Bombyx mori: one gene and its partners. The protein of the gene in region 3 binds, or shares a complex with, the protein of the main gene of each other region. Links are inferred from orthologs where the notes say so. Each region holds a gene or a part of one and is shown on either strand. Other genes may lie near its edges.

Region 1 (8,220 bases), on a different chromosome or scaffold from region 3:
TAAATAGTAATGTTGTGTCACTTCGTTAATTCCCGAAATTTTCAGTACCGCCTAGGTAAGTAGGTCCGCCTACCTATAGTAAGTAATAAACAATGTCGAAGGGAAAAAGTTTACGTTAAAAATTTGATAAATTATTGAATCAAACTCATCAAAAAAAAATTTGATAATTAAATTGTTATTCTCTATTGCTTCATAAAGTATTTTTTTCACTTTAAGTTCAATGCCTATTTTCAAAATATTGTTCATGCAGAAGAACAAGTTAGGAAGTACACGTTCCATAGAATTAAAATGTGTTGCTTTTGTTTTGTGAGAAAACAAAAGGGCGGATGGACAGGCTCGGTTACTGAGCAAGGTTTTGTCTCGTTTGTACATAATTATAGTTGAATCAACTTATTCATTTTAGCAAGTTTATAACCTAGTACATATTATTATACTGTTATTTTTATTTCCGTAAGTTTAAGGAATTTTGTTATTGTCTTCCGCCGAGAAAATGTTTTAAAAAATTGCGTAATAAGCAACCGCAAGCCAAAGCGTATTACACTTTTAGTACTAAATCCTATGTCGCCCACAAGACTACAATTACATCAGTATTATCTGAATTCAATGAATTTTTACTGGTGGTAGGACCTCTTGTGAGTCCGCACGGGTAGGTACCACCACCCTGCCTATTTCTGCCGTGAAGCAGTAATGCGTTTCGGTTTGAAGGGTGGGGCAGCCGTTATAACTATCCTTGAGACCTTAGAACTTATATATCAAGGTGGCTGGCGCATTTACGTCGTAGAAGTTTATGGGCTCCAATAACCACTTAACACCAGGTGGGCTGTGAGCTCGTCCACCCATCAAGCCAATAAAAAAAAATTAAATGTTTTCAATTTTAAATATTGAAACAAAAAAAGAAACGGTGGCTCAGCAATTAACTGTGCTTGATAATAATTCCAAATATCATTAACGTTCATTAGCTACGAATTTCGTAAAATTTAAGTAGGAGCTACCATCCAAAAATACCTAAATCAATTCGGTTCATTTGTTTACGTAATGGTTAGTTGCGTACGACAAGAAAATCAAGATTTTTTCGATTTGTCTATTTTTGTTTCTTTCGTAATAATCGCCTCCAATAAACAACACAGCCTAATCTTTAAATTGGAAAAATTGGCTTCTTGCGATAATAATAAGTAGGATTTGCATTCCTATCGTGCCTTTAATAAGGTTTATTGATTAAAATAAATAAAAATTTATAATATACAATCGTTAAATCCCCACGGGTTGCCGAAGACCAGATTGCTATTTCGCAAGATCCATGCAGAGCAGTTGAGATCCTCTTCTTCGGTGTCCCTCGCTGGTCTCCAAGTCACCAAAGGGAGGGAACCACAATATCTTAGGCACTAGAATTTAAGCGAGATACCTATTATCTTAGCATTTCTTGTGTAAAAAGCCATAAATGATTTAATTTTTTGAATATTTAAACATGTAGGCATGCAGTAACATTTATTTTGTTGTCACGACAATTTTTCTTCCTCTATCCCATTGCCATAGATGGTGAATTTAGAATTGTTCAAGACTCGTAATTTTTGTCTTGTTACTTATTATTAAGTATTTTCCATATTAAATTGACCATCTTATTACCCGTCATTGAGAGTTAATATTAGAATATAATACCAATATAAGTTACAGTGAGTAGATGTCAGTGAATTCAAAACATCAAAACGCGGGACTTTCATAGTGCACTTAAATATTAAAAGTACATAAAAGTTCACTAGGGTACCGGAACATTTAGAAAGCTAATAGGTATATATTTAATAGTATATTAAATACTGTATTGGCGGAAAAGCTTAATTCATATGCACCTTGAAACGAAGTGTCCGTTTGAATGGCCGGCATTATGAACCAAACCCGCCTCCCTCCCTTTGTCTACGCCAGGATCCTTGCTGAAAAAGATAGTTCACTTTCGTAGATGAATGAATGAGTTCACGTAAGATTAAATGGTCGTTTAGGCCAATAGACAACACAAATGCCTTCAACCACAACCCTGGGCGTCTTAACATTAAGCTATGGTGCATGTAGAAAATTTTACAATAATAAAATATATATTTTATTCTTTAAAAATAAACGATAAACACCTATTTATTCTGACTCTAGAAGCGTAAGGTCGGATCTACTTCTTACTGAGTGTCTCTGAAGAGAACTCGTATCAATATTGAAGAATTTTGGACTCCGTTCTCAGAAAAAATCTAATCTTTCATAATTTGGTGAACGTGCTTACTGTTTAGCTGGAGTTGAGTGGTTACGGGAGCCCATAGACATCACGACATTAATAGCGTCCCACCCTCCTTGAGATATGAGGTTGATGTCTCAATGTTATAGTATAACGGCTGCCCCACTCTTCAAACTGGAATGCATTACTTTTTCGCGGTAGAAATAGGCAGGGTGATGTAAGTATGGACTCACACGAAGCTCCACGACCAGTAAAGATTTATGATTGCTAAAATGATCATAAACCATCCTAGAATCAAAGAGTAGAAAAATTCTATATATGTAAACGAGAGCTATAGCTCGCCCTTTGACCAGTTGATGTTGAATCATTATTTCTTTATATTCCTTAATTTAACGCTTCTAGAGTACATATATATTTTTGATTCAGGAATTTAAAGTTTGCATTTAATTGTAAAATAATTCAGAAAAACCCTCTGCCCTAAAAAAGTCGTTGCTTAGCAACGGTTTGTTTTGCAGGTCAATGCTATTGATATTTAACATTTTACGCATATTAGTACACCGAAAACACTGTAAATTTTATATTTTAAAATGAGCTTGTACAAATTGTTTAGTTCAAATGTCGAAATACAGTATAAAAGTACCTTCCTTTCCAAAGCCATGTTCTTTACTCTTTTTACGTCTATCTTAAATATTATACTGCCTTTTATTATAGCTCAGAAAAGTAGAGGTTAGAACTCCAATTTAGCCTTGCTAAAATCAGCTGAGTGAACCATGTCCAGAAAATACTTAACAGTATACAGAAACGGTCCTATTATCGTTAAAATTAAATTATTTGAAATAGCCAGTAATTACCGAATAGATATCGAAATATAAGATCGTAATACAAATATGTATTTTTACAGGGCTCTGGGTGAAATATCACAGTTTTTATGAACAGCCAACTGTTCATTTTACGTATGAGTATGTACTAATAGCCGAAACTGAGGATCCCAGTAAACCCATACTTTGTACAGAAATTGGATTGTTTGGTAATGATAATGAAGAAAGCTCTGAATCATGTGCAGAAATGCAGGTAATGAATTTTTATCGAAAGAATTGTACTGTGTAAATACAAATTACATAACTATATAGACAATGAGTTTGTTATGAAATAAGACTAAATACACTGTGTAGTACATTTTATACTGATAACATGACCAACTACAGTTTTTGATGAATAAAATTATTAAAAACATGTATTTCCAGGTTCAAGAAAATGATTTCACTGGAGATGGCAAAAAGGATGAGCTGTATATTAAATTTCACCTAAATATACCACCAGACAGAACTGTGTCTTCTATTTTATTAATTTTATCTCTTGATTTTCAGCTGAAGGTATTTTTAACTATTTTTGACATTTTAGATATTTAATAAAAAAAGGTACTAAATCTTTTCTGTTTATTTATATTTTATAAATAGGTGCTTTAAATATGGAACAAATACTTTAATAGAATCCTTTTGTTTTCTTCTTGCAGACAATATGCCCTTTACAAATGCAGAGCTTGGCATTGATTACCAAAGAGTTTGTAATACCACCATCAGAATTAATTTTTCATGGAGATCTAAATTTTTATCAAACCACCCACTTACCTTGTGAATGGTTTAATCAAGATACGAAATATAACAGATCTTTATTTGAAATTGAAAAATGGGAAAGTTACATGTCTATTGATCATTATCTGTCTGATTATTTTCATAGAGAAGGTAAGATTATTTATTTTTACAAATATACATTTTGTGCTTATTCATATTTTAATATTGGTAACAGCATTGAAGACAAAAATAATGGCTATTGTTGTGCAGCCACAGACAGAAGGCCATAAACCTACAGTAATTTTAACACAAAATTGTAACATTTATCCTGAGTTAATAAAGATTTGATTATCAATGATAATCCTTCTTTAGTAAGGCAAATAAACTCAAGTTACTTAATAAAAAACATAATGCTCCACTGTCCATTGGATCAAAACTAATCAGGTATTCATTCTTTCAACAGCTAGATAATAGGCCAAAGAAAGTTACTTGATAATAGTTTGTCTATTATTTTTCATAATCTATCCACAGTAGATCTAAACTTCCTGGTTATCCCAAATTACTATACCATTCGGGCGCATTGAAAGTCCATACCAGTTACAAATCAGTTATACAGTTCTGCTATTATTTCTGTGGTTCTGCTGCTGCCATTAATTTCAGTTTGAAGTGTGGGTTTGCCTTTATTGATACGTCAGCCTAATGTGATCTGCAGAGTAGCATTCAAGTTCTAATGTTACCAGAGTCCAGTAACCACTGATATAAGTAAACCTACAGCATATTTATTCAACTACATTCATAACCAAAAAATAAACTATTTTCAGTTACCACAGAAGTCAGAACGATAAATTCTAGAACCTACAATGGCCAGACAGATTCTATGACTGTTCAAGTTCATCTAAGAATTCCAGAGATGCAAATAAGATACACTCCTAGTATACTAGAAGAGTTTAAGTGGGCTTGGCCTCAATATCTCTCTTTTGTAGTGATATTCCATTGGTTCTTCAATAAAGTTAAGGAATTTATATTTACCAATCGACTTCTCATGTCATGGAAAGTACAATCTTGGAAAACATTTGAATGACGAACTTATGTAAGATCTATAAAATTGTACTGCGAAATAATTGATTTGTGCCAATTTCTAGTCTTCACTGTAAAATTCACTTTAATTATTAATAAGGATAAACATGTTTTAATGTTTGCAATAAAATGATATTATAAGCATTAAGTTTCATTGGCTCAAAGAATTTAATTAATAAGATTCATATTCCAAAACTATTCTTATGGTGTCAGAAGAAGGTATAGTATTCTATATATTTAAAAGATTTCAATATGAAAGTGCTCACTATATTTATTATTTTTTAAACTAAAACTTTACATAATAATATGAAACGAAACAATTTTATTTTGCTAATCATTTATTCGATATCTACTTTACTATTTACATGTTACATAGTTAATTTTATATCACTGAGTGAGAGTTAAGGTTGGAAATGCGATATCAGGTTTGGTATTATCTAATTCAGCTCGGTTGTCCTCAATTATAAATGTTTTTCCACTGTAGTCATCAAGTTGTACCAGCAAATATCTGCACATATAGTTTCCATAATCATTCTGAAAAAACAAGTGTACTGGTGAATTGGAAAGATTTTAAATGAATTTATTAAAATAGAAAATTTTAAACAGAGATTATAAGAAATTGATGAGGTGTATACAAATTATTCAGATGTATGGTGTTATTTGAACTTTTAAGTTGTTAAACACATTTCTATTTAAACAGAACTTACTTGTTTCATATCAAGTTCAACAACACCTTTATTTCTTATCCCTTTAATATAGAATCTCATTCTCATATGTTTCACTCCATCTTTTTCATATACTGCATGACTGACATGGGTACGTCTTCTCCTAGTTGTTTCTTCTCCATAACCTTTTATTGGTGCACCAAGAGCATCTTCTACTCTAGGATCCTGCAATCGACAATAATTTAATAAATACTTGGTAAACAATACTTTAAATAGTGTTTGTTTCCCCTGTTCATTACTTACTTTAATACTGACTACTGTACTGCATTCTGCATTATGCAATGCTAATGATTAATGATATAGAAAAATTTGACCTTGTTTATTAAATAATCTGTAAATTTATCATAATGTAAACAAGATTTCTTTCACACAAGGTAATTTACCTGTTTGCACTTCTCAAGAGCTTCTGAGTAAATGCTGTTCGGACTGTTACTTGAGAACAGTTCTCGAAAAACGTAAAAGAAAATCACACCTGTGACTCCGACACCGAGAAGTATTACGCCGGTGTAAGAAACAGTTTTTGTAGTTTCTTTGATTTTTTCTCCTAAGGGTCTTACATCTGTAGATACATGGGAAGCACTTTCTTTGCTTTTGGATTTAGTCAAACCACTTTCTTTTTCAGAAGAGAAGTAACGGGTATTAGTTCTAAATTTAGTTTGTAATATGGCAGGAATCTTTTCAGTGGTGCTACCGTTCCGTAAAAGCGGTAAAAATTTAGATATTAAAGTCATCGTTCACTTTTAAGTGTGCTATTTAACAGAATGGTTAAAAAAAACTCAACCTCCTTATTGTTATTTCATCGTCAAAAATTTCCTATAAAGTTGATAAAAATAACCTTAGTTATTTACTTAATTTTGAAGTTTACGTAGCTATCATTGCTATCAATCAAACTATCTTATTTGTTAATTAGTCAGGCAAATGAAACTTAGCGAAACAGCCACTTTTATTACACGAAAAAGAAAATGTTAAAAACAATAAAAAATATAAAATATTACACTACTTAAGTAAAAATTTTAAAAGAAATGAAATAGAATTTAAAGGAGTTCAGATGAGATAAAATAAAATACTCAGTATTTTACTGAACGGTAGAAACGTCATTGGACTTTTCGGAAAAAGCTATGTTAAGCAAATCGATTTAATTTTTCTATATTTGTGCTTTTTCACCGATACTACAAAGCCTATAAGCCACTAATGTTGCTCGTTAAAATCTGAAGAAGCATCAATTTAAAAAAGTAAAACCATTCTCTATTTATAAATGGATATATCCAATAACATAGAGAAAACTCTTCGATTAGCCACTCTATATGTAGTAGGTAACTAATTTATAATATTAATAGACTTTTTGGCGGGAACGCGAAGAGTGAAGTTGTGTGATTTGTTTTATTTTGTCTATTTAGTGTTTCTTCAGGTTTCAATGTGTACTTAATAGCTGTTTAGTATCTGTGAAAGTGCATAAATGTGGGAATCTTCCAAAAAGTCCATTGAAAAAGTCACAGTAAATGACCACCATTTTACTGAGATTATATATCATCCCATATCATCTCATTTCATTTAATTTAATCCCAGTTGATTAATGTTTCAAATTAATCTTCATTTCATTTCATTTCACTCCATATTATCATTTTTCATAAAATAAGAATTTTAATAATAATAAGACATGACTTAAAGATCTTAGTTACCAGGTCCAAAAATTCCTTAAAAAAAACCGCTGTAAATGTCAAAATCTGTTTTTATTTCAATCAGAGAAGTGTATAATCTATGATTAAAATCATTTTAGATCACTGGTTTGAACTTGAACATTGCAATTAAGTTTTTTGTCTTAGTCCGTTGTAGACGTGCGCTAATCATGTTCGGAACTGGATTGAACATGACATCGTTCTTTTGAGTGTCGGAACTAGTTCCAGTAAACATGTTCGCGGAACTGTTTAGTTCCACGAACATGTTAAGTCTAGTAGCTGTTTGTAGTTTGTAGCTGTTTAGTTCCGCGGACATATTAAGTCTAGTAGCTGTTTGAAGCTGTTTAGTTCCGCGGACATGTTAAGTCTAGTAGCTGTTTGTATTGTAGCGAATCACGTATTAAGTTATTATTAATTACACAATATTTTTCAAAAAAGGTATTAAAAATACAATTTTTTAAAAGCGCTATATAAAAATAGATTGCCGATTATGGCAATTATTATTGTAATTATTATTTTGTAAGGTTTTTAGTTTTAGGTTTATTGTTACAGCTGGTTGCATAATTTATTAATGTACTGTAATTACTTTGTCATAATTTCAATTACTCTACTACTTTTATTATTTTTCAATGTATTGTACGATGCACCGGAAACTATAACCTATCAATTGTTAATTAAAATACCACGTTATTCTGATATACAACGTAAATTGAGCTCGTTGTAGCCTTACAACCTTTTTCCCATAACCGAGATACCGAATAGCGAAAGTGGTGAATGTTTTAAAATTCTCTAATTTTGAATTATGATTTTCTAAGAAATGGTCTACAAACACTTAAGGTTAAGTGCTCGTAGGAATGATGCATGGTCAAGGTCAAAATCCATAGCAAAACATTTTAATTTATTCAACTATCGACTGTAACACGTAGGTCGTAGAGCATAACTTCAATATTAATAAAAAT
Region 2 (7,413 bases), on a different chromosome or scaffold from region 3:
TTTAACTCCTGTTAGAGGTGTTACAATACCAAATTATGCAATTCGATCACTATCCGCCAATACAACGGCGCTACCTCATGCTGTTGAACCAGTGGTTCCTCCTGTGGAATTGGACAAGTTATATAAAAGAGTAGAATTAGAAATGCGCGGTATAGACCCGGCTGTGCTACTCAGCTATTCATGGTTTTGCGTTGCTGCTGCTTCACATCTTGGTATCGAAGTCACTAAGAGGTATGTTAGAAATACGAGTCTGTTCTTTTAATGAGAGAATAGCTCTTTGATTTTCATGATTTATAAAATTAAAAATCATGAAAACAGGTTTTATACATGCTTTTATCCCAAAAGTTAAAAGAGTTAAATTTTCCTTTATGGTCCATTGTCTACCTTGACGATTTCCTCAATTTGTATGGAAACAATGTTTTTTTCTTGCAAACCATAAGTTTCCGCAACCTGAAATTTTGCAAAAAGCTTTTTATTTATGAGTATTATATACAAAAAAATTGTGAACTTCCAAATTGATCAACCATAAAGGAAAGTCTAGCCAGTTAACGTTTTATGTTCACACTAATAACATGAAATACGAAAGAGAAAAATAGTTATTATATTTAAATCCTTTTAGAAAATTGCAATAAGGTTAAAGTCTGTCAAGGTTTAATTGACAGAAATAAACACATTAAATACCAATCAACTGTAAATAGATGAAACAAAGAGTCTTCCAAAATTAGTGTACTTCTTTGAATATATCAAAATTATTATTTTGAAGATGAATTTGATTTTGCTTCCTATAAAATATTTGATGCCTTCATTATTTTATTGTATTGCCATATATTATACCTATAGAGATATATATAGGAATGCATAGTATAGCTTTGTTACATTTTTATGTTATCTGTGTTCTGTCAGCCCAGAATAGCATCAGAACATCTCTTACTTTTGTTATCATAGTAGGTTTTTACGGGATTTGCTTAAGAATAGGCAACAGCAGTTTTGAGTGTGGCGGGTAGCCATCATACAACGCAAGATAATTGACAGATGCCTGAATCTCGCTTACGACATTTTCAAGATAAAGCGCATATATACAAGTTCCGAACAACAACATTCGGACCGTCGGTCTACCGAGCAATATCATCCGCTCGGTGGAAGATCTTTCCTTTCGTCGTTAAGCCTTCCCCAAACCCCAAATTTCCAAATGAGTGTATATACTTGTGTATATATGTGATCTCCAACCAGTTGAAAGCTTGTATGGATAGGTACGACAATCCTGCCCATTTCAGCTGAGAAATAATAATGTGCTCTGCTTTGAAAGGTAGGACGGCCAATAGAATCGAAATTTATTGAGATTTCTATGGGCTCTGGTTATCACTTAAAACTACATGTACCTTATACCTGTACTAGTAATGAAATAATGAAATATAGGGAGATAGAGGCATTTGAAGATGATTTATTACAATTTAAAATTTTACCCTTCATATTAAAGATTTAAATTTAAGTTATTAGTGCTAAAAGAGATACTACTAGTTAGTTTTATTTTTTTCAGTTGGGCACTAAGGAAAGCAGAGAAAGAAAGGCACACACTTTTAAAATGTGTACACATTTACAAGAAACACAAAGTGCAGTATGAAATTCGTACATACTTCAGGTTTATACATATGCAGAGGCTCACTGGATCTACGTGCGACACATATTTGGAATATATCGAACGGAATCTGCCAGAAGGTTGTGCGTTGAAAGTTACAAAAATTGAATGTCAAAAGTTACCTGAACATTTAGTACCGCCTAAGAAAGAAAGCGAAGAGTGAATTGCCATTGTAATAATTTAGAATAAAAATAAATTAGTTAAATGTTATTTAGTTTAATACTTTATTTTTCACCAACTCTAATTTATAAATATTAAAAATCAATAAAATTAAATTAAATATATTTAATTAACAGACACATAAAGATCAAAAGCCAACTTTGAACATTAAAGTTAAAAAAACAGTCTTAATTTACATGTTGCTCTTGATTTTATTCAAAGCGGTATAATATAATAAGATGATCACAGTAATTCTAATGCAGTTTTCACAAAGGGGATTACTAATGTTACAAATGGCTAGAAACATAAAAATGCAGACTAGTAAATATAATGTTACCAGATTAACAACAAAGTAAGGAGAATCATAAGGCATGAGATTATATTTTTTCACATGTTTCTAACTTTTAGTAATCCTAGTTTACTACACAAGAGTAATTACAATGATCAAATTGAATTAATGCTATATTTAATAAAAATATGGAATGTTTGCAATATTTGAGGTTCAGGTTTTCATTATTTAATCAAATTGTTGATTTTTACATACAGTAAAAATAAATAAGATTGCAAAAGCAAACTCGAGAGCATGGAACATTAACATGACGGCACACCAGATGTATTCCAACCGAAGTATGTAAGTTTGATAAATTAGAAAATAACATACTCCTACAGCAGAGGGAATCGTCAATAGCACTGACAGAAAGACCGGTATTTCTGTAACAAAAACATTGTTAACATATTATGGTGAAAAGTAACATTGAACGAAACGAAAATAGTTTCTATTTTAATTTACTTAAGACACAAAATATTTTTTTGCGATTTAGTACATATTCCGTACAACAACGAATCTTGAAATATATTTTTGCAGAATATTGAATATATACGATACTTACTTTTGCTTGCTAAGTTTCCTCTACGCCCCAAAAAGATCCTAATCATCTCTACAAAGCATAGGGCGCTAAATATTCCGGCTTCTGTTAATAGAGCGTTTTCTGGATACGAAACATTTATAGCCTTCAATATCCCCATTGCGACTTCACAAACGATAAACATTCCTAAATAAAAACTGTTCAAATACAGTAATATCTCATAAGCCAAACTCGAATTAACGTTTGTTACTTTCGACATTTTTTCCATATTTTATAAAATTGTACGAATGTATTGAAAAGTTTCTAAATTGAGAGGAGGCTGTTTCGAGGTTTCGTATGTAATAAAAATCAATGTTTTTGTTTACACTTTTTGAAATTTGTAGTAGTAGTAGTTTTATTTTTTCAATTGGAAGGGCACAGGTATCATACCATACAGCCAAATCTTTTATATATTAAAAAAATTAAAAAATATATTATTAATATGAAATGAAAAGAAACGAAGTTGATTGATTTGGAACATTAATCAATTGGCAATTGGCAAATTAAATGAAATGATATGAGATAATATAGAATGAAATATATTGTCAGTAAAATGGTGGTTAATTACTGAGACTTTCTCAATGGAATTTTCGGAGAATCCTGAAAAGTAACGTCCAGCGACTTTTTTTCATTTTCCCACATTTGTGCACTTCCACAGATACTAAACAGTTAATAAATCACCGCTGTTACATATTTAAACCTAAAGAAACATTAGATATATAGACAATACTGAGATAATACATGAGATTGACAATACAACTACATGAGAAATACATGAGACTGACAATATAACTATATTGAGACCTTAGAACTTATATCTCAAGGTGGGTGGCGCATTTACGTTGTAGATGTGGATAGTCGTAGATAGATTATGGGCTCCAGTAACCACTTAACTCCAGGTGGGCTGTGAACTCGTTCACCCATCTAAGCTATAAATAAAAAAAAGCTCTTTGCTATATTATAGCGCCCAGTAAATATTTGACTACTACAAGGCTTTTTTCTGTGTTATTTACACTAAAACTGTGTTTTTATTTAGAGAAGTCTAAAAGCTCACGGTTCGTCTGGTGTAAAGTGGATACCAAACACCAAACATCATAAGAATAATGGCGAACCCACCTTTAGACATGATGTCAGAGTTTCAATTTTATTATATAACAGCTGATCCATCCTTCAAATGCATAACTGCTTTGCGGTAGAAATGGGCAGGATCATTATTATATCTACTCATACGGGCTTCCAATACGTCCTACTACCTGTAACCTACCAGTAAATTATCAATATTTTTATTGCTTCGAGATGGACAGACTAACTTCAACCCGACTCTTCATACTGGAACACCTTACTGGCTTGCGACAGATATAGCTATACAATACGCTTTGAGAACAATAAATGCGGTTTGATGAATACAGTATGCTGGTTAAGAAATCGCATCTCGGCCTCAAATAGTGCTTTAAGACAAAAAAAGAAATGGTCATTTATAGTTTATTATTTAATTTAATTTTATAAATACCTAACACTTTTTCACTTTTTTTTTAATTAACAAATTTAATCAGTATTTTATACGGGTCACTCACATTCACTCGAATACCCAAACCCGCAAGTGTAGGACGACATTTGCAAATGAATAAGCAAAGTTTTCGCTGCATTTGTGGTTTTCCAAGCTGTGTCGGTTTTTTAACAGACATCAAAGCGCGCGAACCGCGATCCTTCGCGAAGCCTCCCACACATTCGTGTGACCAGTTGCGCCCAGGATTGCGAAGGTAGCGGACGTTTCGCTATTTTCATAGATCGTGACGTCTACTGTGTAGCGTATCTTCATCAAAAGAAATTCCATAAAAACAGCATGGCTGTTAATGATGTCTGGGAAAGAATTCAAAACTCTTTTTCTCTTCAATGTTCTATTGACGAATTAAAAAGGAGGAGAAATTCGTGAGACATTCGTAAACAAGTGTAGGAGGAAGCGCAAACGGGTTCGCAAATTGAGTACCGAACCCATTTGCACAGCCGCTAAGTTTGCGAATGAATGTTTGACGGCCCTTCACATGCGCGCAAACATTCGTACAATGTACGAATATTTGCGCGCATGTGAGTGGCCGGCATTAGTAGCTTTGAATGATTGCGGAGTACTGTAAAATGTGGTACAAGAGATGATTATTAAGAACAAAAAAGCTTTCTTTTTGAATTGTGACACTTTAAGGATAAAACAAACTAATATTTTAGGAAATATTGTTTAATATCGGGAGACAAACATTTTAATAAAACAATAATCAACAACACAAAAAAGTTGATATTATATATCTATGGGCTTTTTGAAGCATAGGTCTTTGGCCTGGCGTAAAATATGGGGTAAGTTCGCTCTGCTGGGGACTTCCAATATGTATTAAGTGTATTTATTATCTATGCTTCCAACGTTAACCACAGGGAAAAGCTAATAAAATGCCAACGTGCCATGGTAAGAAGCATGCTAGGGTAAAAAATCAAAGATAGAGTCAGGAACGTAGACATAAGAACAAGAACGAAACTCACAGACATTCTCACCCGGATAGACATCCAAAAATGGAGATGGGCTGGACATATGCTACGCCACCCCACTAACAAATAGAGCAAACAAGTCACCCTCTGGCAACCAAGAGACGGCAAAAGAAGCAGGGGTCGTCAAATCAGGAGATGGGAAGATGACTTGAAGCAGACAGCGGGACCATTCTGGCTGAGAGTAGCAAGGGATAGGACCCATTGGAAGGAATTGGAGGAGGCCTATGCCAAAAGGCACACCGAACTTAGGGACCTCTTGTAACCCTATGTTTAGGAATAAAAAAAGCTATTATTATTATTATAATAAATAATAATACTCCTCGGAATTGTAAACCTGTGCTTACAATACGTTGACTTTTATAAAATTCAACTCGCCTAATTCGAAGATCCTTCCCAAGGAGTTCTCCATTTCAGGCACAAGCTTTGGGCTCCAAGAGAGACTGATCGCCGAAATCTCGAGCATTCCTCGCGCTATTCATGTATGCTGTCAATTTATAGCATGTCATTGATTTATAGATTCATTGGCGGGAATGCGATCAGCGAATTGTTTTATTGCGTTAAATAAGTGTTACTTCGAGTTTAAGCATGTAATAAGCTTACCAACTGTTTAGCATCAGGAAAATGAACAGAAAAATGCAACGAGTTGCCGGACTTGACTTCTCGAATTCATCCATAAAGTTCAGTAAATTTCTACGGAGTAAATTTCTACCATTGACTGGGAAATAATTTCGTCTCGTCCAATCTCGTTTCATTGATGATGTTATTCAGAAAAATCAAAAATTTTATAAAAAATAACTTTTTATTCTTCAAGCAGCACGACATTTTTGATTAATTAAATGAGTTTTAATTAAAAAACTAAACAGTTTTGTTACTAACCGTTGAAAAACATTATCATAATAACTAAACAGGAAAGGTTGTTGTTACGATAAACAGAAAAACACATGATTTATAACTTTCTGCTTTATGTTTAAGCAGTTTTAGCAAATAAATTGTTAATTGGTAGGCATACATGCACATTTATTTTACAAATAATGCATATTTATTGCTTCATAACGTGGATGGAATACACATTAAAATATAAGTACTATGTTACGATTACGATTTCTAAGTATAGTTTAGTTATGTAGACAGATAGGTAACTTAAGAAGCGGTTCCTTATTAGGGCGTCCATACTTGCTTGTGTTCATAATATATTTTTCCTAAGTTGATTATCTTTGAATTTATTTATTCTGTTAGAATACAGACTTCATTTATTAATACGCTTTTATTAGCTTCAGACGTATATATGTTTGTAACGGAATCTTTGAGCTTGATTTTGACCCCCTTCAAAACGTCGGATTAACTCGAATACTTGTTAAGGACCGATGACAATGCAATATTAAAAAAAAATGAAAAAAAATATATTGAAAAAGTTGAAATTCAACTAAAAAATGAAAAATAAATAATAGTTTAAAAAAAATTACAAAATACGCTTTTATAGAAAATCCAACTAAAAATAGTGTAAGAAAAAAGGATTTTATTGTAAAAAAAGCGTGGGGTGCATGGTATCAGTAGTTATAAAATCTATTTTATGAACAGATATAAGTACAAGGGTTATTTTGATAATATCCTAAAAATCACCCCAGTAGTGTTGTAGCTTATAGCTATCACAGAACACAAGATATTTGATAGATGCCTAAATCTCGCTAACGACATTTTCAATAACATTCAACCGAGTAATTTCGTCCACTCAGTGGAAGATCTTCCCTTTGTTATTACCATCAAATTAGTTAGAATATTTTTTCGTCTATCGGGTTTTATTTTCTTTGTCTATTTTCCTTTTCAGAGTTAAATACATGCACCACGTTTACCTTGTCAGCTCTGACAATAACTTATAATTTATTCCAAGCGTCGGTCACCGCTCTCCTCAAACCCATCGGAGGGTTCGTCGTGAAAATTAACCCAAAGAAACAGCCCTCTGAGTTTCTCGCCGGATCTTCTCATTGGGTAGCAGTTCCGATCCGGTGGTAGATTCAGCGAAGCACTGCCCTTATTAGGGCTAGTGTTAGCAAGTTGCCAGGCTGAGCCTTGTAAGCTCGCCTACAAGTCTGGTGAAGCTAGGATAGTCCTTCAAGGTTAGGTAGGCAAAAAAATCCTCAAACAATCATTTATGTAAACAAAAATTAATGCCATAGAAATATA
Region 3 (8,480 bases):
ATTATTGAAGATCAGGCCATGCCTTAAGGCAGATGTCACTATTCATGCTTTAATATTTTATGGGTCCAATAAACACCAGAGAAGAGGTTGGCTCAATCATTAACAACATTTTGAGGCCACTGTTAGGACCATTCAGTGTTTCTTGCACTGAGCCAATAATATTTAGATATTACAATTAGGTAGCCTGATATTTGTAGTTTGGTATTTGTTTCCTAAATTATTTTAACTGCTTTATGCCATGTAGTCATGACGTCAATGATTAATGCTCATGTATATTAAACATATCGACGGAAAAAAGCGGAATTGTCGAAAAACCCAACTTTACATCAGAACCTTACATCTATAATTCTATACTAATATTATAAAGCTGAAGAGTTTGTTTGTTTGAACGCACTAATCTCAGGAACTACTGGTCCGATTTGAAAAATTATTTCAGTGTTAGATAACTCATTTATTGAGAAAGGCTATGGAACATCACGGTAAGGCCAAAACAAGTCGAACAACAAATTTATTGTTATCTTCCAAAATAGGGGTTTAAATAGCTCCTTAACATTCTATAATTCAAAAATATTTTCACTTGCTACATAAATGAAGTCAGGGAAAATTTTGCGTTATGCCAAAGTAACTATTCCACGCGGACAGAGTCGCGGGCAAATGCTACTATAAGATATATGGTTACAAAGTGATTTAGACCAAAATGCAAGTTAGGACATGTCCGCTTTCTCCCGTCTGTATTGTTATTATTGGTTCCACACCAACCTAATGAGATGTTTATCTGGTGGGGTTGGTGTGTGTCTGAACATCTCCGGAGGGGTAGCTGTGTGTCGGAATACAGAGTTGCTGCCCGCATTCTTCATGGCCTGAAACATTTAAATATTACAAATTAGATTATTGTTATAATGTAATTTCACAATAAATAAGGTGTTCTTTGTAGCATTGCTATTATGAATGATCAATACGGATTTTTTAAATACTGGGCTTTAATATGTTGTACAGGTTCTGTAAATGACAATCAGAATTGAGGTGGGTGCTTTTAATTAGGTCAGAATTGAGGTTGGTGCTTTTAATTAGGTCATGTACCTGTAGCGGATCAGGGGGCGAAGGCGCCGGCACATGGTACAGGTGTGGTGGTGGCGTCGGTGTGTGCCACGTCACTCCACGATCAGACGCCATGTGCGCCTGAGGGGCTCTCGCTAGGAGATTCGCCATCTGCAACTGTTTTTTTTAATTTTTCTTCTTATATTGTTTTAAAAGAAAGGAATAACATAGACAAACAATTCATTTGTAACAATCAACTATAATCAAGAGCTTCTGTTATCACATCTTATATTTTTCTACTTTGTCAGTCACTCATTATTTTAGTTTAGTAAATTTATTTTTCTGAATCTTATTAAGTATTATTTATTTATTACAGATAGAACTAAATCGACATTTGATTTTAAAGGTGACCTACCCACCTGAAACCATGAGGGTAAAGTGGTTTTGGGACAGTGGCTATCTTACCTCTATCCTCAAAGGGCTTGCAACATGAATAATGCTCGTGGAAGAATAAGGGGAATGGATAGAGGAAATAGTGTTCTCGCCCTAAATATAGGGCAAGTCCTGTGTCTCAAATTTACTGGAAAACAATAACAGCTATTTAATGTAGGTAGAGCAACATGAGAAATAGAAGAACAGGAATCAATAAAATAGTAACTTTTACATTTGTTTTCATTAGAACAACTGTCTTGTTCATATATTGTCTAAATTTGTAGACACAGTTTGAAGTCTTACATATAACTTTAAGTTTCTTAAAGTATTTAAACAGATGATTAGGAGTTTTTTTTTAAACATATTACTTAAAACATAGAGCTGTTTCAGACAAAATTCAGTTGAATGTTAGGCACATATAACGTTATCAGTATTTTAATTTTCTTTTAGATATAAGAAATCAATATTTGAACTTGACTCAACAACATTGTCAAAGTAAATATTTCATATAGTTACAGAAACTGGTAATATGAATATATTATTGCAGTAAAAGGAGATTCTGTGTTAGCAATACACTTGTTTTTTTTATTCAGTTTTAAAAAAAAATCATATTTGATAGTTTTAATTTAAGGGAAATGGCACACCTAATTTGTGAGTGATCAGCATTGCACTCATGGATATTAATAACAGTAGGAGTACTGGCAGGTTGTTGAGTCTCCCTGAAGGTTTTAAAACCTGCTTTGAAGAAAGACAGCACAGTGCGAGAGAAACAGCATGGAGAGTAGTTAATAGTTTGTTCAAAATAAGATACTATATGGCAATAATGTTCTCTAGAAGTGCACCATAGAAAGCACAGCTGTTCCATAAATTAGGTACAAACTCTACAATGGGTCGTGCAAATGGAGATGACAGGAGCATTTCAAATAATTCCATAAAGCACTTTCTTCTTGTTCTCATTAAATTAACGAACTTAGTTACTTATGTTAATAATTTTAGGCTACCATTTGTCACAAATTGTGTAGATTGATCTTGATTAAAAAAAACAACAACAGTAAAATATATAGGAAATATGACTAGTAACTTAAGTTTCTCAAAATAAAGTAACCTCCAATTTTATATTCTTTACTTAACATTTAACAATTATGAGCTGAAAGTGAGATTATTGTGTGCAGTATCACAATTTTCCAATTGACCTTCGTTTAAATTTATTGTTGTTATATTATGAAATTGCAACAGATTTACACCTGTCAATACAAACAGCTGATTGGTGTGTACTACATACCTACTTCAACGATTCACGACACGCACAAAGACACGTTCATAGAAAAATAATTAATAAACAGCATTTATCATTCACATTTCTAACGTAAGGATATAATGTAACTTCCGTCGAGTATTGTGAAACTCGATAAGTTAGTTGCGGTAATTAATGAATAATAAGCACCACCTGAAGGGGGCTCCAACCGGGGCCCAATTGTGATTGCCGACCATTCGGGTTGTGTTGCGATCCGCCAGACATGATGCACGGGGCAGTCGCTCCGATTTCGACAATTCCTATTCAGCACTATGTCGTCAACAGACACTGTCTCAGTCCACCATAATGATGCCGGCAACTTTGAAGCCTTCGCCCGCGTAACTCAGATCGCTTACGACGTGTACAGAAACTTCTGAAACAATCTCATGTGTGCAATCCCAAACTTCGTTCACACTTAACATGCCGTATGAATCACGGATAGCGATAGCTACTTTTTTACACTCAACATACATACAGTTTAAAGAAAACGAAATTTATTTAGTGCATGGTATGGTGTTCACGATTCCGATGCTCACTTCGCGTGACATTTTGAACGCATTTTGATTTTGAAAATAAACACTTCCCGGTAAAATATAGGCTAGCATTTGCTCAACAATAAGATAGTGACTTTAATCAAAGCAGTTTAAAGTCAAGTTTCTGCTGTAAATACAACTAAAATCACTGAAATAATTCAAGTAAGTGATAGATTCGCCTTCACAATGGTGGCCGATTTGGATTTGAAAGCAACGACAGCGCCATCTTGTGAATAAATTTTAAAAAGTGTCGACCAAACAGCACAGCGGAAACGTTGTACTCTATTGTCTTTGGTTAAAAAAAACCGGAAGCTATATTTTTATTTTTACCTCAAGTGTATTTTTTTTTGAAAAATCTAAAGACTTCTTCATACATTTCTATTTAGTTCTTGCTCCTCTCTTTAAATCTTTATCGGTCACGCACCAGTGTGGCTATTGATTGGCAACACCGTCAAGGTCGTTTCTATGGCAACAGCTGCTTTGTTTTGAATACTTTTGAACGGACTTGTCACGAACTTGAAACTGGTTGAAACTTCGTACATAATAATATATGTATATGAGTATTGAACATTATAGAAAATAAAATAGATCAATGAAAAGTACCGAGATAACCAAATTCTTAGTGTCTTTTAGCGGTCAAATTGAACACGTAACGTTTCCTTCCGGAATATTCGATGAATATCTTTATATTCAGTATGAAGTGGTATGGGGTCCGGATTGGGAGCCTATCACGGGTCTTCCTTCAGGAACGAGTCAATTGTCACGCCCCGGGATCAACCCAGAGAGAGTTGTTATCAACATGCCTATAGAAATGACTTTCGGAAGCACTAATGTGTATGGGTGTAAGTAAAGTGGACTTTTATGCTTTTTTGATACAAAGTCTTTTACGATTTGGTGATTGGTAGTTGGGTGGGTGGGTGCCGTGTACAATTCGGAGTTGAATTAACTAAAATACCCTGTCTCTCACGTCAACACGCGTTCGAGTTATGAATGAGACGGAATTCAGACGATAGAGAAGGGCGAAGCGACACCTTCCTCGCAGCTCACCCTGTCCACCTGAAAGCCAATCATCCGGTCGCATTTACCAAGACCTTTATCGATTGCAATGTCTCTACGTTGTTCGATATAATCCTTTAAGCTTAATTGTGGCACGGGAGCGTCTAATCAAAAATATCATCAAATCTACCCTACATGATTCATTGAACGTGTACAATTCATTATATTAGTTCTTCCTGCGTCAGTCCGCCCTGCCCATATTTACGACTAAGCAGTCATGCGTTGCAATTTGTGGGTAGTGACCATCGCACAACATTAAAACCTTGTATCTTAGGGTGGCTGACGGCAAGCATGTTGTTGTCACCATTAGGACCGGTATCCGATGACAATCATTTAATCTCCTACCATGTTTTTTTTATTACTTAGATGGGTGGGTGGAAATGCTCACAGCCCACCTGGTGTTAAGTGGTTACTGGAACCCATAGACATCTACAACGTAAATGCGCCACCCACCTTGAGATATGAGTTGTAAGGTTTCAGTATAGTTACAACGGCTGCCCCACCCTTCAAACTAAAACGCATTATTGATTCACGGCAGAAATAGGCGGGGTGGTGGTACCTACCCGTGCGGACACATAAGAGGTTCTACCACCAGAAAAAAATACTTTAGACACGTCTGTACGGATCTATCAGATCCAATAGCTCTTGCATTGATGCCTTCAGCTCTAGGACCAGGCTTAGGAATCCCGGTAACCGTAATCGTCGAATTCGGCAGAGTTCGTCGTGCAACCCAACCTAAACATCAGCTCGCTGAGTTTCTCGTCGGATCTTCTCAGTGGGCCGCGATTCCGATCCGGTAGTAGATTCATTCACGAAGCAGCAGCTCTAGAGTTGTTAGGTTGCCTTTGGAAGCGCTCAGGTAGTTGTTAGCAAATCCCACCCCTCCTGGCTGAGCCTTTGCTCAACCACCTATCCTGGTGAAATTAGACAGGCCTCCGGGCCACCAGTAATCCTTCATATTTAAAAAGAAAACCATGTTTTGTCTAAAACAAAAGTTTGTGTCGTTTTCTTGAAATATGAATGTTTTGCCAGGGCCCCAACTTGTTATAACCGTGAAAGCCCGTAATTTCATAACCGGAGATACATTGCGGGGGTACGCTGTTGTGCTACTGCCCCCGACAGCGGGTAGGCGATGCGTGACGTCACCGCTCCTACGTCCGAAGCCAGCCACGGTACTCGGCGAGTGGGTAGCCTGGCTCACCGGCCGGTATCCAGAGTTGAACGACCCGAAGATGTTGGCCGACGGAAAGGATAATTACAGTACGATTATTTACTGATCTATTTATTTATACCATACACATTTTAACCCTTTGTAACCCTTTCAAACCGAAATGCATTACTGCTTCACGGCTGGAATAGGCAGGGAGGTGGTACCTACCCGTGCGGTCTCATAAGAGGTCCTACCACCAGTAGTTACGCAAATTATAATTTTGCGGGTTTGATTTTTATTACACGATGTTATTCTTTCACCGTGGAAGTCAATCGTGAACATTTGTTAAGTACATATTTCATTAGAAAAATTGGTACCCGCCTGCGGGATTCGAACACTGGTGCATCGCTACATACGAATGCACCGGACGTCTTATCCTTTAGGCCAAGACGACTAAAGTGTAAAACTCGTTTTTAACGTTCTCGATATCGTAAAAGTTAACTCAAGTATGCAGTTGGAACAGCGCCCCTAGCGGCAAACGTAGGCAAATGTTCCAATTCCATACAATTTTGAGTTAACTTTTACGATATCGAGAACGTTAAAAACCTCCCACCAAACACACTGTTTTTACTGTCGTTTGTTATTAAGTCATGTGTTGAGCGATACTCACCTATCGAGTGCAAAGGGTTAATCGCGAATACGTCTGACCCGACCGGCTCTACTAACGTTGTACCGTTCTGTAATTTGTCCCTGTGTTTCATTATGTTATTGGTAAAAATGAGAGTGCTAAAGAAATATCTCTCAGCAATCAATGGTTTTAATAAATTTTATTACAAAGTTACATTTTAATCTTATAAAAAGTAATATTTTATTAAAAAGTTACGTAGAAGATATTGATATTGAATTCATGTTGCAACGACTTTTATGCGTTTTTCGAAAATCTAAAACAAGTTAACGTGCATTGCATTGTATTCCAGTGTTAAGAACACAATCGTCAGGAACCGTGACGGTGTCGGCCACGATGGTGTCCAAGGACCTCAGAAAACTGGGCTACGACAATGAACCGCCAGCCTACACTAAATATTCATAAAATCTATAACAAATAAACTAAAAAACCAATATCACGGACAATCATAATAAGAAATATGTTTTTTAATGCTCAACCTAGCGAGATAATTATTTGAGTTTTTAATTTAAACAAAAATGAAACGGACTTAACTTTATGGATGAATAAAATAAGATTTCACTACTAATTGTTTACTTTATTATTTTTATGTTATTTAGGCACTGATTTATCTATTTTGCTTGAATTTATTACAAAAAAAACTGTTTGTTTTAATATAAGGCACATAGTTAGGTAGTGCTCATTTCATTACTTCAATAAGAAAATGTAGGTATCAACGTTTTATTTACAAATAAAAATATAATTGGTTTAAAGTTTAAATACAACAAAAAAGTTGTAATTTTAGTTTATTAATAACTAAGGTAATTTTGGAAGCTGGTCTCCCTGTTTTACCCTCTAAGAGTTTCTTCATTCATGAGAATATTTACACCATAAACATAGTCTACACAACCTGCACATAATAACCATAATAAATTGATAAAAACAGTCGTAGAGTTTCCTTTATTTTTTCGCTTTTCTAAAAATCGGAGTTTTTGGCGGGAACGCGATGAGTGAAGTTGTGTAATTTGTTTTATTTCGTCTAAATGTGTAATAATGGTGGTTTATTAACTGTGAAAGTGCACAAATGTGGGAAAATGAAACAAAGCCGCTGGACGTAACTTCTCGGGATCCTCCAAAAAGATCAATGAAAAAGTCTCAGTAAATGACCACCATTTTACTAAGATTATCTTTCAATCAAATCACCTTCATTTCAATTCATAATATCATTTTCATATTAAAATAAAAATAAGACTTGACCTTAATAAGGGATTAAAAAAGTCTTAGTCTTAATTAGGTCTTAGTTACCAAAAATATCTCTAGAAATCTAGTTTTATTCATAACTAGCTCACCCGGCAGATTTCGTAGTGCCTCAATCGATAAATAAAAGACCTAAACTTTTGCATAAAATAAACTTAAAACAAACAAAAGATCCGTCCGACGGGGGGCACATCAAAGGGAAAACAAATTTGTTATTTATATTTAATTCCGAGCATTTTCATGTTTTAAACCTTCTCTGGACTTCCACAAATAATTCAAGACCAAAATATAAATTAATTAAGAAGCAAACACTCTTCTGAAAAGTTATTTGAACTTTTTTGTGTTATGGACGTAAACACACAACGAACTATCGAGTTTCTCCGCGGGAGCTCTAACCGTTCGGGGTCACTCGGCTTGCGAATACATCTATCACCGGTTCATAATTATGACCCGCTAAGAAGATTCGGCGGGAAACTCAACGGGCCGATTCTGTGCGCCAAAATTCGGAAGTTGTCTTTTTTTTTTTCTTCTTTTTAAATGATCCATTCAATGTTTTGCGCATCGAATTTGAAAATCGCGGAACTTTTTGTTGACTTTGACGTCATCAAGATTTGTTTCGAATACGAATGAAATGAGAACGATGTTTCGGAGCACGTATTACGATGTTTATTGTCAGGAGGTTCATAGCTCCCTCCCACCACTAGGATATGCAACGGATGCCGCGATGTATGTACATACCTGTTTTACTGACGTTACCTTTATCTTTTACTGACGTTACGTTACCTTTTATCTTTTTTACTGAAGTTACCTATTTTTTTTTCGATTTGACAGCTATGACGTCACAATATGGCGCAGGTCCGTGCAGATTCTTAATTGAAACGCATTGGAGAAGAACGTAATGCGGATTACGGTGTGTGAGGTGAAATAACTTACGGACTAAATGTAAAACTTACGTTGTCCTTTCGCTATGTGATTTCAAGAGAACCTCTTTCATATCGTTTCATTGATACATAAATCATTTTATTTAAACATTACTTATATTCAAAATATTTTTCG
Region 4 (8,520 bases), on a different chromosome or scaffold from region 3:
GATGTGAAATGGCTATACGAATAAAACCGATTGCTTGCGTGGCAATGCATCGCCTTAAATGAATATACATGTATACTATATACATGTATAAACATACATACATAATATATATCAGTCTAGGGATGTTCGACGTCGGATAAACATCGATTATGGCATCGATAATGACATTGTTAGCAGGATATCAATATTTTTTGCAAATATTGATCAATTAATAAAACAACCATAAAATCACAACGTTTTTATAATTCAACAAAATGAAAAATAAATTAAAGATATCAGAGCACAGGTACATGTTATAAGTTCCAATACTTTTTGTTAATTGACTAAAAATAATAACTTGAAGTTCAGAACCTATCAACCTATTGTGCTGTTGATATAGGGTTGACCAGCCAACAGAATTTCGATATCGATATCGATGTCCGTGACATCGATGTTACGATGTTTTTTGTTTTAATATCGATGACCATCGAGCATCCCTACATCAGTCTATACATAGTAGTCTGTGTCTGTGTACAATGTGGCGAAGCATCGCCATGCGCAAGCCACTTTTTCTTAATATTTATATTTTATTTTTCACTATGCCTCATTAATTTCCTTTCGTAAACTATCCTTTTATCCATCTATAGCTGTACAAAATAATATCAATATTTCACATTTGCCAACCTTCCTGCAATGACTTTTTTTTTAAGTAAACTATAATAATAAATTACACCACATTCAAGGCGTAAATTGAAAAACATTTGAAAAATAAAATTCTAATTAAAGTCAATACTTATCAGTTTAAAAATAATACTTAAATTTTTTGTATTTCCATTTCAGTTCATCTGCAAGATGTCACCAACTTTTGCACAAATGATCAAATCTTTTGGAGTTGATGGTGATATCAAAAGTTTCGAGACAAAATTGGCGAGTTTCAATATCACATTGCACTTAAATCGCTGCAAGATAGACGACTTTTTTAAAGACAACAACTTATTTAGTGATACAGCTTAACCAACATTAAAATCTAACTGAAACCAAAAATAAATTATAGGATATTTTAAAGTACGTTAACGAGATATATTATACATATGATAATAAAAAAAGTTCAAGCACCAGTTACAATGATTCAATGGTTTGTAAGTTTTGATAGAAGTTAAATTATGTGCTAGCATTAAAACTATAAATATATCTTAAAATAATGAACATGAATAAGTGAAAAAAAGCTACAGAATTAGAGACACAGCAGAGGCATGAAGAGGTTTAATCACTTTTAAAAAGTAGTTTTAGATAATTGAATATTGACTTATTGGTTGTAACGGAATTTGCTAAAAGCAAAAAGTCAGGATGCTAAAATATACTTTTTACAGGAAAGGCAAAATAATGTGTAACCGAACGTAGATTCGAATACACCTAGCTTCTGAATTCCAATTACTTTAACAAATAAAGTCACTGCATTAGATGCAGCCAATACCCTTGTTACTCCACAGCTACTGAGAGCACTTGATTGCGAATTTCTTGCTCTGATAGCCTTTGTTTAGAATTAGAAGAATTAAGACCTGAGTGAGCTGATCATTCATAGTTGGAAAGGGGATTTAGGTAAATGTTAATCGGAATCGGAGAAAAAAATCTTAATGTGGACAAATAAAACTCCTGCAATTCAAGCTGCCTTAAAAGTAAGTACTTTGGCACTGAAAGATTAAAACGATGTCTTACGGTTTACTATGGCAACATTTCAAAGGAGGAGTTAAATGCAGTCTTCATCACAAATACTGAGTTATAGAACATAATTTCCGTTAAAAATTTTGTTCGTGGAAAGTTAACATCACTAGTCAGATTGTTCCAAAATGAATTTGAAAATGTCGAACCTTTACATTTAAACACTGTACTTTGTAGATCCATTCAACTGTGTCAAAATTATATCATTTTTCCCTTGAAGTTTTCCCAGTGTTTCTACAAATAAAAAACCAGTGCCTTGAAGAGTTTAATGGCAAATACAAATATTTAAATATGAATGTTGAAAACCATTTTAATGAAATCTTATATATTTTGATACCAATAATAAATTTAATAAATATGAGTCAGAGTATTGATTTACTTTTATATGAACGGAGAAGTTTTCTGTATTCCATTTTGTTTGAAGTAGTTACTTAAGAAAAAGTGCAATCATTATTTTAAAGTTATGACTAATATTTTTTGTGTGCTTGACGCTATTTTTTAAAGTTGAATGTAATTTATGACAGTATTGTTTAAAAAAAACTTAATTTACTTTTGTAATTAACTATTATATAACAAGCTATGTTAAATAATTATATTTATGTTTATTATGCCAAAGCTTTGCTAAATAAAGCAATTTTTATTAAATATCTTAAGATATGGTTCCAGCATCAAATGTATTATGACAATAAAGTCTTTTCATTTAAAGTATGTTTCATTTAAAAAACTTTGGTCATTATGCCATAATGACTGATCTGTTTTGTCATGGTTAAAATTAGCATGAACGCACATTCATCCTGGTTTTAAGTGGTTATTGTAAGTATATCAACCACATATTAAATGAGAGTGCTTTGAAGATTGAATTTTCATTGCATTGATACAACAGCTGTTCTATCTGTTCAAAAGAGTACATGCAAGAGTAGTTATCATACCCATCAGTGCCCTAAAGCATGAATTAGGCTATTAGGGAAAAAAAATTTTTTTTTTTTTTTATTAAGCATATGGCATGACCCACCTGATGGGCATAAGTAGCCTCTATCACTCATGGATATCAGCAATGACAGGGAAAACAAAGTTGCTGCCTATGTTTTGTTTGTTTTAAAAACTCAACCCATTAAGGTTTATTTTCTAATTTTAATAAATGAAAAATGTATACTGCGTTTACCTTTGTTTCAAATTAAGAAATCTAAAGTTATGAAATATATAGATATCCTAAGTCTCTTTGCAAAAGAAATTTGATTTTCGATAAAAAAAAGGACATAACAAAAAATGCTTTTTCACATTGACAATGCTATTATTTAATGTTTTGTATTTATCATACCATGATTAGTGCTCATACTAATTACAGTCTGATACTATATAAATTATGCTGCATTCTACCATAATATTACTACAATATTACCTTATATTTTTACTACTCTACTAACTCACTGATTCTGAGTTGTGGACAGGTAAATGCTTTTAGCTAGAGAAGAAGCTTGTTTTAATGCTCTAAACCCGTACACAATCTCAATAATAGTAGTCATCCAAAACATAGCATGCAGCGTTATTTCTGTTGGTGTACTCAGCAAATATGGATGAAAAAGGAAGAAGCTAACTAGTGGCATTTGCATTAAAATTGTCAACATGAGGAATACAGCTAATTCTGGAACCTAAAAAAAAATAGTATATTACAAATTATTATTTTGACTAAATTTTCCTTTTGGGTCCGTCGATTTGGAAGTTCACAATATCTTTGTAGCTAGTACTCATAAATAAAAAGCTTTTTACAAAATTGCAAGACTCACGGTTTACGAGATATAATTTTTTAAAGTTCCCATAAATATTAGTATTTTTAAACAATTTTCTTCCTATTACATTCTGTTATTTATACTATTGTTTTTGTAAATCTCTGCCACTAAGGTATTAATTAATATTCAATGACTTAATGTTAAGGACTGGCAAATGTTTTTATTTTGTCACATAATTAGTAGTAATAACTATGGCTAATTACTTACTCTGCAAGACAAATTTCCATATCTACCAAGGTACAATCGTACAATTTCTATTCCAGATAGTAGCAAAAAAACTGTAGCTGATAAGTATTTTGTCAGGTGGCTAAGTTGATCAAACTGCAAAAATAATTTTTAAAACGCTTAATTGTTTAATTTTTTACACAATGCATATTTCTGTTTGGAAAGTTACTTCAATTTAGTTACTTTGTTCCTCACTTTTTGAAAAATAGTAGTGTTTTATTTTATCACCAGATCTGAATTAAAGGAATGCCATTGTATTGCTGATACATCACTGTCAGCAAATTAATTTAAGTCCTATGAGATCAGGGAGCCCCAAATCTTTTAACTGAGATCTCGTATTACGTTTCCTATTCATAATAAATAGGATAATTTCTAAGTACAGTGAACACAGCTTAGATTTTAAAGTATACCTTCATAAACAAGAAAAACCCTGTCACAAAACACCAGAGAACAAATAGATTTATTTTAAAGTACAGACATTTCTGCAAACGTAGCATAGTTTTATACTCCATTGAAATGTTTAAATGTACAAAAGTACAAATCATAAATTTTTAGTCAAAGTTTATTTATTAGTTATCCACATAGGATTTATTGAACTTTAACAAAATGCCGTTTATTCATTTAATACTTTATCAGCTTTACTCATAGATTATACACTTAATATATTTGCTTTACTCTTTGTTATTGTTTTGTTTTGCACATTTTACAGTTTGTTTGCGTTTTTTTAATTCGTTCACTGGATACGCAAATGTATAGCCCATTAAACAAAAATTGAAATAAAGGCTGATAAGTATTTAAAATGTAAAATGAAACGAAATAAAATAAAATACGTCATTACTTTACATGTTTTTATTCTTTTATTGCCTTAGTAGGCCAACGAGCATATAGCTCACCTGATGATAAGTGGTTACCGTCGCTCATGAACGTCAGCAATGCCAGGGGCATAGCCAAGTCGCTATCAATCATTGAATAGGTAGGTGTAGGTCCTCCAGGCCGCGTTTGATGAAGGACATATCGTAGCGCTCGAGAAACACCGTGGAGGAGAGTTCATTCTAGAGCCAGGTGGTACACAGCTGAATGATCTCTGGAAACGCACTATCGATGAACACAGCGGTTCCAGATTGTATGGATGAAATCTGCTCCGGTGGCGGGAAGTTTTTTTTTATTGCTTAGATGGGGGGCCAAGCTCATGGCCCACCTGTTGTTAAGAGGTTTCAAGCGATCCGTGAGAATGAGATTATCGACAATCTGAGTGGTCTGTCTTTGTATGGGGTCAAATGGTACCTACTACCTGGTAGCCTTGGCCCAGTGATGGGCCTCACGTACTCCACGTGAAGCTGGACTTGTGCTTTGTAAAGCGCAAGTCCAGGCGTGAAATTGAGGACTTCGAACATTTTAGAGGCTAATTTGGCTTTATCTTCCAAATGACTCCAATATCGTACACCGCTCGAAATATCGAACCTAAGAATATACTCGCAGAAAGCTGCAGGCAGGGATACTCAGGGAATATACGAAAGTTGTAAGGATGTATGGCGTGACACCTTCGCCTTTCCAGTTGGTTAAATGGAACTATTATTAATACTACCTGACGATAAGGAGAGAGGCGGGAACCTTCAAAAAATTTGGGACGGAACTTGAGAAGAGGGCCAATAAAAAAATTCATATCCTTTTTAATTAATTTAATTTGATATTCTGTAGATATTGTAGCATATTTTAGTTTATAACTGTATATATGTTTAGTTTATAATTGTATATTTTAGTACTTTAGCGTAGATAGTATGGAGTTGGAGGCGGGAACGGATCCCCCGGATCCGAATATTACTGAGGAGACAACTGATACGACTAACTCAAGGTTTAGCCAACCAATATTTTTCTGTGATGAGTTCGACCTTTCCAATGTATCTGAATTTGTCAACGTTAAATCGAAGAAATCCCAAAAAAAGAAACAACTTGTTAATTCTTTTAAACCAAAGATCTCGGACAAACAACTTTCGTTGCGCCCGCTGCAGCAGGCTTTGGCGGGAAATCTTGCAAATAACGTAAATAAGCTTATAGTGCCTCCTCGCCAAATTGTACAGACCTCACCAGAGCCTACTTCAGCGAGTCCTTCTATGACACCATCTGAGACCCCAATGGCCGACTCTGTTTACAGAAAAAAATACACTGAACAGGATCCTGGCCCATATATGGTCCATGTTACTTTAATCTCAGATTCTAATAGTACTACATCACTGCACCCACTTAAATTTGGAAATTTTCTAAAGAAAAGCAATCTTGGTAATATATTACAGGATGGAATTAAACGAGTAGGTCGTAATCGCCTGGCAATAACTTTTAAAACACATAGTGATGCCAATATTTTCATATCCAACATGTCTATGAATCCATTGTATAATGTAGTGATTCCTACATATAATATATGTAAAATGGGTTTGATAAAGGGTATCCCTCAGGAGTGGACTCATGAGGACATTGTAGATAATCTGCAAATCCCAGAAGGCTATGGACAAATTATCAAATCCCGTAGATTAAACAGGAAGTCTGTCAACTCAGATGGAACTTCATGGATTCCTACTCAAACTGTGGTCTTGACTTTTGACGGACAGTCTCTTCCCTCTAGAGTGTATTCCTTTTTTTCAAGTATTCCAGTTGAACAGTATATTTATCCAACGGTACAATGTTTCAATTGTTGTCGCTTTGGACACACTCGTGTTCAATGCAGGAGCAAACCTAGATGTAATAAATGTGGTGGAGAGCACAGCGGACTGGCTTGTAATACTGAGACTTTTTCTTGTGTTAACTGTAGAGGTGAACATATGGCTACAAACAAATCTTGCCCTGAGTTTAGTAGACAAACAAATATTAAAAAACATATGTCTCAAAACCTCATATCATACCAAGAAGCCTCTAAATTGTTTCCTATTGTAAAGAAATCATATTCACAAATAACATCATCTATTCCACTATCTGCCCAAAGTTTAAATGATGTAGATAGTTCAAATTCTGTCTCTTACAAAAAAACTGTTATAAAGAAGCCTAAACAGGCATCTATTTTAAATAAGGGTTATGACAAATCAGAATATAAATCATTGATCCGCAGCATTTCATTTGATGAGTCTCAAGGTAAACTAGGTTCCGCTTTGCAATCCAACAAAGAAAAGGATACACAGTTGCCATCTTCTGACACACTAAATAAATTGTTATCCACACTTATAAATATTATTGCTAATTCAGAACTACCAGAACACGTTGCTCTTTCACTTATAAATAATATTTCACTATCAATTTTCAATATTTTTAAATATGGACAGAGTCCTCCAGTGGAACTGTAAAAGTATAGTTCCTAAAAAACATGAAATTATATCTTTAATTAATTCACATAATATTTTTTTACTAGCCATATCAGAAACTTGGTTAGTTCCAGGTTCCAATTTCCGTATGGCCGGTTTTAATATTCTCAGACATGATAGACATGATGGGTATGGTGGCACAGCCCTTTTAATTCGTAATAATCACAGATTTTCTTCTTTGCCAATCCCAGCTTTTAACTCGGATATTTTACAAGCAGTGGCTGCCCGAGTAGGTGAGGTAACATATCTATCTGTGTACATTTCAGAAAAGGATTTATCTGTTCTGCCTATACTAGACAAAATCATTCAATCATTACCCAAACCAATAGTAGTTCTAGGGGATTTCAACGCTCACCACTTCTTATGGGGAGCACCCAACGATGATGGCATGGGAAATGGCTTAATGGAGATAATAAATGATCATAATCTTTGTGTTCTGAATGATGGGTCCCCCACTCGTCGCCCAGTTCCGGGTCAAGCCCCAAGTTATGTTGATATTACACTTAGTTCAGCCAGTTTGTCTTCACTGTTAAACTGGGAATGTTTAACGCTGTCCTGTGGCAGTGATCATTATCCCTTATTAATTTCCTTGCCCTCTGGTAAAACAGGCACTTTTAATCCACTACCGCCGTTATTTAAGTTCAGATTAAATAACTATGATTGGGAACTGTTTAGTCAAGAAGTCGAATCGAAAATTATGTCCCTTCCAAGTTTATCTACTCTTGATGATTATAACAACATAAACAAGGCGTATGATAACCTTATTACGGCATACTTAGCAGCTGCAGATAAACATATCCCCAAAAAGAATGTTGCCCATATGAAAATATCTTCTCCCCCATGGTGGGACAAAGAATGTACAGAAGCTGTCAATAAAAGAAATGATGCAGAAAAACTTAATAAGCAATGTTTGACCATGCATAGTTATTTATTTTATAAAAATGTTGAAGCGGCCACTAAAAGGCTTCTTCGGAAAAAGAAAAAAGAGGGATGGAAAAGATTTTGTTCCAAGCTTTCGCCTGATTCGCCATCCTCCCTAATCTGGAAAAATATAAGAATGTTTAGATCTTCTTTTATAGCCCCATCTAGAAATTATACATCGCAAGAATGGATTAATCCTTTTTTGGACAATATCGCACCCACTATGGTTCCTAAGTTTGACCAATTGCCTTATACATACTCTTATATATCAGATAACTCTAATATTAATAATAACTTAGCGTGTTCATTTTCTTTGCCGGAACTTCAATTAGTATTGAACCGGTTATCAGACTCCACTCCAGGATGTGATGGTATTCCTTACTCTTTCTTAATTAATTCAAAACCTATAACCCTATCATATTTACTGAATTTAATTAATTCTATAATAGACACTGGTATAATACCTTCTTCCTGGAAACATCAAATTATAATACCTATATTAAAGCCTAACAAAGATTCAAATAATCCTTTATCTTATA

What was found.
Region 1: B9 domain-containing protein 1 (region 3) and transmembrane protein 231 share a complex: the UniProt entries of both Homo sapiens proteins name them as parts of the tectonic-like complex. The link is inferred for Bombyx mori from reciprocal best matches to the Homo sapiens genes B9D1 and TMEM231.
Region 2: B9 domain-containing protein 1 (region 3) and transmembrane protein 216 share a complex: the UniProt entries of both Homo sapiens proteins name them as parts of the tectonic-like complex. The link is inferred for Bombyx mori from reciprocal best matches to the Homo sapiens genes B9D1 and TMEM216.
Region 4: B9 domain-containing protein 1 (region 3) and transmembrane protein 17 share a complex: the UniProt entries of both Homo sapiens proteins name them as parts of the tectonic-like complex. The link is inferred for Bombyx mori from reciprocal best matches to the Homo sapiens genes B9D1 and TMEM17.

Annotation. Positions count from the first base shown.
Region 1 is NC_085110.1:12,597,099-12,605,318, forward strand, and holds transmembrane protein 231, read left to right. Parts: upstream 1-2,780; 5' UTR 2,781-2,799; coding exon 2,800-2,938; exon of another isoform or gene 2,939-2,982; coding exon of another isoform or gene 2,983-3,016; intron 3,017-3,113; coding exon 3,114-3,283; intron 3,284-3,456; coding exon 3,457-3,585; exon of another isoform or gene 3,586-3,630; intron 3,631-3,725; coding exon 3,726-3,954; intron 3,955-4,604; coding exon 4,605-4,864; 3' UTR 4,865-5,001; downstream 5,002-8,220. Other genes in the region: mitochondrial import inner membrane translocase subunit Tim21, read right to left, coding at 5,248-5,394, 5,568-5,750, 5,969-6,316. UniProt on the Homo sapiens protein: Transmembrane component of the tectonic-like complex, a complex localized at the transition zone of primary cilia and acting as a barrier that prevents diffusion of transmembrane proteins between the cilia and plasma membranes.
Region 2 is NC_085132.1:4,410,116-4,417,528, forward strand, and holds transmembrane protein 216, read right to left. Parts: upstream 3,062-7,413; 5' UTR 2,930-3,061; coding exon 2,686-2,929; intron 2,507-2,685; coding exon 2,313-2,506; 3' UTR 1,907-2,312; downstream 1-1,906. Other genes in the region: mRpS10 (mitochondrial ribosomal protein S10), read left to right, coding at 1-231, 1,538-1,799. UniProt on the Homo sapiens protein: Part of the tectonic-like complex which is required for tissue-specific ciliogenesis and may regulate ciliary membrane composition.
Region 3 is NC_085123.1:2,232,478-2,240,957, reverse strand, and holds B9 domain-containing protein 1, read left to right. Parts: upstream 1-3,686; 5' UTR 3,687-3,889; coding exon 3,890-4,139; intron 4,140-5,385; coding exon 5,386-5,613; intron 5,614-6,480; coding exon 6,481-6,593; 3' UTR 6,594-6,756; downstream 6,757-8,480. Other genes in the region: uncharacterized protein CG5098, read right to left, coding at 760-860, 1,081-1,215, 2,915-2,989. UniProt on the Homo sapiens protein: Component of the tectonic-like complex, a complex localized at the transition zone of primary cilia and acting as a barrier that prevents diffusion of transmembrane proteins between the cilia and plasma membranes.
Region 4 is NC_085116.1:10,338,353-10,346,872, reverse strand, and holds the start of transmembrane protein 17, read right to left. Parts: upstream 4,484-8,520; 5' UTR 4,256-4,483; coding exon 4,121-4,255; exon of another isoform or gene 3,906-4,120; intron 3,807-3,905; coding exon 3,693-3,806; intron 3,348-3,692; coding exon 3,127-3,347; exon of another isoform or gene 1,933-3,126; coding exon 1,902-1,932; 3' UTR 1,848-1,901; exon of another isoform or gene 994-1,847; coding exon of another isoform or gene 820-993; 3' UTR 1-819. Other genes in the region: glycolipid transfer protein, read left to right, coding at 820-993. UniProt on the Homo sapiens protein: Transmembrane component of the tectonic-like complex, a complex localized at the transition zone of primary cilia and acting as a barrier that prevents diffusion of transmembrane proteins between the cilia and plasma membranes.